2 linked regions of the Mus musculus genome follow. The protein of the gene in region 2 interacts with the protein of the main gene of each other region in a pairwise test. Links are inferred from orthologs where the notes say so. Each region holds a gene or a part of one and is shown on either strand. Other genes may lie near its edges.

The links.
Region 1: the proteins of Ehd3 (region 2) and Micall1 interact in binary tests that used the Homo sapiens proteins (3 or more experiments, as listed by UniProt). The link is inferred for Mus musculus from reciprocal best matches to the Homo sapiens genes EHD3 and MICALL1.

What each region holds. Positions count from the first base shown.
Region 1 is NC_000081.6:79,132,875-79,135,237, forward strand, and holds part of Micall1 (MICAL-like protein 1), read left to right. Parts: intron 1-125; coding exon 126-247; 3' UTR 248-2,276; coding exon of another isoform or gene 2,277-2,348; 3' UTR 2,349-2,363. Other genes in the region: 1700088E04Rik (UPF0193 protein EVG1 homolog), read right to left, coding at 2,277-2,348. UniProt on the Homo sapiens protein: Lipid-binding protein with higher affinity for phosphatidic acid, a lipid enriched in recycling endosome membranes. On endosome membranes, acts as a downstream effector of Rab proteins recruiting cytosolic proteins to regulate membrane tubulation.
Region 2 is NC_000083.6:73,803,796-73,807,549, forward strand, and holds the start of Ehd3 (EH domain-containing protein 3), read left to right. Parts: upstream 1-1,045; 5' UTR 1,046-1,447; coding exon 1,448-1,674; intron 1,675-3,754. UniProt on the Homo sapiens protein: ATP- and membrane-binding protein that controls membrane reorganization/tubulation upon ATP hydrolysis. In vitro causes tubulation of endocytic membranes. Binding to phosphatidic acid induces its membrane tubulation activity.

The sequences.
Region 1 (2,363 bases), on a different chromosome or scaffold from region 2:
ACTCCGTGCACGGATCGACTGGAGCCCTTGATGGTTGCGCACCTGATCAGTGACCCTGACCACTGCCCCATCCTACCCAGGTGCTCCCTCCCTCCCTGGCTGAGTGTCTTTGTTCTTTGCTGCAGATTTCCAAAGAGAGGCCGAGTCTGACAGTAAGAAGAAAGGCAAGTTCAAGACCATAAAGGTGCTGAAGTTTCTGGGGAATAAACGAGAAGCCAAGAGCAAGGCCCCAGGGGACAAGAGCTGACAGCGAAGGAAGCCACCTTCCTTTCCTCTCCTGGAGCCTTGAGGCCACAGCAGCACTCTGCTGCCGGGGGACCTGCCAAGGGGGACGATGACCGTGGGAGGGAGTCTCTGGGTGACTTTTCCCCTCCTCCATGGTCTCCAGCTGGTCTGGGCTAAAGATTTTTCCTTCTTCCCTGTGTCCCAACCAGTTGTGACTTAGCCCTGCCCACTTGGATTCTGTCCCCAGATGCTGTGGCCAGCCTGGAGCAAGCAGGGATGCAGGCTCCAGGCAGAGGCCGTGGCTCTCCTTGTTCTCCCTGAACCAGGTCAGATGGGGTCCTCACCACAGTCCTTCTCACAGCAGGCCCTGGTTAAGGGCTCGAGTACTTTGCAGCAGGCCAGCAGCAAGGTTGGCTGCCTAGCTTCTGCCTTCCCAGCTCTGACCCCTAGTCCCTGCCTTCCTGTCTAGCGCATATGTCCTTGAAACTCATGTCACCTCACTCAGGAGCTGTATTTATGAGGGTTGCAAGTCCAGCCCCTCAGAGCGCTCTGTGCTGTGTCAGAAGGGAATGGGCTGAAGACAGTTCCGTTTCCTCTCCCTCATCTCCTTTGCTCTGTGGGAACCCAGGATTACCACACAGGGAGCTGCTGGCTGAGCTGGGGCACTGACTCAGGTCAGCCTGGAAGGGATGCTTTGGGTGGGTGTTCTCTCAGTCAGGCTTTCTGTCTTCCCCACGTCCGGGGATGATGGGCCCATTCCTTTTTGTGGTCTGGGCAGTCTGTCACTGGGGACTGTGCCAGGCAGCTTATGGTCTAAGCACTGTTCTTACACTCGGGGACTTCAGAGTCCCTCCCTTTGTGCATCCTGGGAAGGAACTCACTGTATCTCAGTTGCCAGTGCCCCTTGGTAGTCTCTCCAGATTCACTTGCTGTCCTGGAACCAGGGCCACCACCTCAGAGGTCTTTCAGAGGAGCCCTATGACCCAGTTGCTGTAACCCAGGAGAGGGCTCTACCAGGCTGTCTCTGTGTCAAGGAAAGTTTGTATCTCAGTGAACAGGACAACCTTTCTCATAGTCACCTGTGTCCTGTCAACATGGGCCCATCAGAAGACATCCAGAATCCAGTTCTCCTACAGGCACAAGTTGTAAATGCTGACATCAAAGTTGAGTTTGTCACAGTGGGCTACACTTGTCCTGGGTTTTCCATTGTGCTAGGCCTGCACATTAGAGGGCTTGCCCCGACTGATTGAACCCTTATCTGCTGGCTGCTGCAGAGTAGTCATGTTTATTCTATTAGGACAAGAACACAGGTCATATGTTCTAATAGAGTTATGGGAAACTTCCAGCAGGTGCAGGAAATATTTATGGGGACAGGGAAATGAAAATATTGGTGAAGGTCAGGCTGCTTAGTGTCAACAGCCCAAAGAAAGGACACTGATGTGCAGTGTACCAGGTGGGGTACCAGGTGGGGTCCAAGTTAGATTCTCATCTGTGCTGGACAAGTTCTGATTCCGAACACATAAGTGTTATCCCTGGGGAAACAAGGTGGCACATGTCAGGGGCAAGTGAAATGTGTTTTATTGGCCAGTTAATTGTTGTGGTTAAACATTTGCCCAAGGCTACAAGAAGGCAAAGACTTAGATCCTAAGGGAAAGATCTAAGGGAGGAAAGAGTCATGTTTAATTTTTGGTTCAGAAAGGCAAAACAGAGCACCTGAGGCCAGCTGTGACATCAGGAGAGCCACAGAGAGGGTGCCCTTAGGCACATGTCCAAGGTGGGTGAGCCTGGGCATCGCCATGGTGTGCCTGGGGCTTTTCCCTAGAGAAAGAAACACAGTAGCTATGACACTACTCTGCGGCTTCTGCATCCCCAGGCAGTGACTAGGACACTGTTTCATGCCACAGGACAAAGCCATGTCATGATCTGGCGTGGCCCAGCCCCCATGGGTGGGCAGGCCTGGGATGGGTGCTGTGTGGCAGAGTGAAGGGCACTGGTTCTGGCTGTTGTGCCGGGTTGGCAGTCTCACTGGGTGAGCCCGCCCTTGTCTTGGGTTAAGTGGTGGCGAGGGCTTTCCTCAGCTCCTTGCTCCTCCTGCGATCAATGTCCTCCATTTCCCGTAGTTTCTGCAGAGAGCCACC
Region 2 (3,754 bases):
TAATGATATTCTTATGGGTTTCCCATTTCTTGTTTGGCTCCTATCTTGGTGTGCACATTCTTCCATGCCTGTTCCCATCATACATTTCACGATCTACCATTTTGGATGTAGCTCTGCCAAAATCTTTACACTGCTCTGGATTGTTTTTAAGAAGGCTTTTTATGTGACCTCAAATGCCTTCCAGTCTTCTCTCAGCTCATCCTTGAAGAGACATCTCACAGCCATGTTTCCTGTAATGCCTTCAAATTGACCACGAAAAAAGCAAAAGATGGTTCTGCTTGCTTGCTTGCTTTTTTTTTTATTCTTATTTTTATTTAATTTAATTTTTTTTTTTTTTTGAGACAGGGTTTCTCTGTGTAGCCCTGGCTATCCTGGAACTCGCTTTGTAGACCAGGCTGGCCTCAAACTCAGAAATTTGCCTGCCTCTTTTCGTGTCTGTTGTAATTCTACCCTGCTACATCTCCTAAAAGGCTCCTCAAAGACTCAGCTTTGTATGTAGTTGTGTCAAATTAGGTCGCTGCCCCTTAGCACTCCCTGCCTGTGTGTGTTTTGCTGGTTTTACCTACCGTATTGAGTGGGAGAGAGGGGGAGGAGAGAAAGAGGAAAGCCGTTTTTGTTTGTTGTTTGTTTTTCACTTCACCTCAGGCCTGGTGAAAAGATAAGTTACTGATTTTTTGGTTATTTTATGTCACTTGTCAGGGGCACCTTCTTTCCATGCCCCAAGGAAAATACAGTAGAATTTTCCCCAAATGGGTCCCAATATTAGTATCCCCAGGGAACTGACCTCAGTAACCAAAGGAACTGAGTCTCAAAACGGTAGAGTAGGTCAAGGCTGTCTTAGTCTCCGTCCTTGAGAGGGCGCTGCTCCCAAGTCAAATCCCCAGGGCTGGGAAAGAAATGCCTGCGCTTTCCCACAGGACTCTGGCAGCAGCTTTTTGCAGATAGAGTCCGCGCGGCCGCAGAGCGCCTGCCCATAGACATGGCGGCGCCCTCCTTGGCTTCGCGTCGCCCTGACCGTGGAGCTGGCCGGGTTTTGCCAGTTCTCGGGGACTTCCTGCACGTCTGGCATTTAAACGCGCGCCGGGGGCGGCGGGATGCTGCTGCGGATGCGGAGCTGTGTGAGCCGCTGCCTACCCGGCGCAGCCTGGGCTCCGCAGTAGCGGAGCTCGAGCATCCTTTAGTCATCTATCTGGGGAGACCTGGAACTCAGGCTTCGGCTTCCCGGCAGGTTTGTCTTTAATTTCCAAGGTTGCAGTTCTCTTGACACAATCCACAGCATCCTTCTCTCCAACCGGGCTGTGGATGAACCTGGGACTGGACTGAATCCAGCAGCTGGGGCAGCCCGGGCCATGGTGCGTCTGAGCCCCGAGCTCTGGTAAGGCAGTAGTGGCGGCGTTGTTCGAGCTAGGCGGGTGCCACTCCCGGGAGCTTCCTCCCAGCTGTCACAATGTTCAGTTGGCTGGGTAACGATGATCGCCGCAAGAAGGACCCTGAGGTCTTCCAGACGGTGAGCGATGGACTCAAAAAACTCTACAAGACCAAGCTGCTGCCTCTGGAAGAGTATTACCGCTTCCACGAGTTCCACTCGCCCGCCCTGGAAGATGCTGATTTCGACAACAAGCCCATGGTCCTGTTGGTGGGCCAGTACTCTACCGGCAAGACCACCTTCATCAGGTGAGCCTCATCTGGGTGCTGAGCCTTCCGGGTGACGTGGAAAGTCTTCCATTAAGGGCTCTGAAGAAATCCCTGTGGGAGGCCTCAAAAGTTGATCCTACTACCGAGTCCCCCATTGATTCCTATATGATGTCCCTCCTCAGTTCTTAGCCCTGGTCATTTTATTAAGAGTCATCCCTGTTGTCTGATCTGGGCACTGAAACTGAGGCACAGAAGGAACCAGACTCCTAATGAAGGTGGGGATACCGTAACCCTCCTTTTGACTAGAATCTCTTATCTCGTGAAGGGCTTGGGATTATCCCGGGGAGCCTTACCTTTGCAGCCGAGTTGTTCTCATGGTCGCGGGCCTGGGGATGGGGGTGAACTGGAGACCCTGGGGTCATTTATTCTTTTACCGTTTTTCCTTCTCTCTGACAGTGCTTTTAGGGCTGTCTCTTAGAGAAGCAGAATACTTTTAATAAGTTTCTTCTTTGAACTTAATAGTTCAATAATAATAATAATAATAATAATAATAATAATAATAATAATAATAATAAAGCAGCTTACAGAAGTAGAGGAGATACTAAGATGCCTCATCTGGCCCTTGACTTTGCAGGTGAGATAGCAGAGGTGATGGGAGGATACGTGATGGTTTAGAGCTGCACAAGATGGAAGCAGCCCTCGGTGCCTGTGAAAAATGTTAGCTACGTGCCTGTAACTTTAACAGGGAGTCTTCCATTCCGTTGAATGATAGATTTTGGGGGCTGCAAGCATTCAGAGAGAAAGTCAGAAAAATCCAATAGCTCTGAAGAACAGGCCTCTCTCAATCTTTACTGCATACAGACTGCAAAGCCAGGCTGCCCTTTTCAAAGGTTGAGGGGTACACATATTCCAAAGGTTGGAGGCTGCTTATGGCCCTTTGGGCTAAGAGGTCACACTCTTACAGGTGCCGTATCCTCCCAGAGTCAAGGGCACCCATCTGCAGAGGGCTTTAAAGCAGCAGTCCTCATATTTCTGGATTGGCATCATGATCTACAGAGCCACGTGCTTTGCTTGTCAAGGAGAGCAGCAGAGTTGACAACCTGGTGACTCATTTTTCAGTTTCTCGTGTCTCCCGCGCTAAGCTTCTGGGAGCCGTGTGTGTACCATGCTAACCTGTCCTGTCTGAGCAGAGCACCAAATCATTTGTCTTTGTGGAGTGGACAGTCTTGGGCTGTCAACTTGACCTGCAGCTTTGCAAGGTCAAATGATTTCTGAAGTGGGGACCTGGGGGTTGTGGCTTATTAACTCTAATATATTTTAAACATGAGACATAAATCCATTGTGGGTTTTTTTTTCACCTTGTTTTTAAAAATCTAAATCACTTTTCTTTTAAAAAAAAAAAAAAGAAAGCTGTAGCACTCTCTTTAGAAAACTCCACGGATACCCTATGTTTACCTGTAGTGTTGAATGGATTTAACTGGGAACACAGAGGGAGAATCTTGGATTCAAAGTCAACCCTTAATTTTATTAAACACCAATTGGTGCCAAATGTGCTTCAGAGATACCTGGGTTGTGCACACAAGTTCCTTTGTATCGCTGTTCTCCACCCTTTTGGGTTTATGCCTCATGGGAAGTGTGGGCAATCTGCAAACTGTTCTTGGCTTCGCACCGCCTTCCCTGGCCCTCTGATCATCCTTGGTCATGACCCTGAGGACATTAAGCTACTGGACCATCTCCTTCCCGCAGTAAAGGCACTTTGGTAGCTTCTGGACCTGAGCATGTCCAGGGACTAAGCTCTGGGGAGTTCCCAGCAGCCATCTTGCAAAATGGGAGGGAAGAAAAGCAAATGTGTTTTAAGAGCAGGGTCCCCCGAACACTAGAAAGTTTAAGTGCCTCTGTGTGGGATACCCTCTGGATTTTGCCTAAGTCACCACAGGCTGTTACTAGATCCAAGAAAGTGGAAGAGTGAGATGCCCCACATTATCCCTTATCTGAGGGAGGCAGATCCCTCTTCCTTCTTATCCTCCTAGTTCAAGGGGCCCCCTTCCTCCTCATAACAATAACTGAATTTAGCTCGTGCACCCAAAGCCGTTTCCCCTCTAGAGAGAGGGCAAGAGTG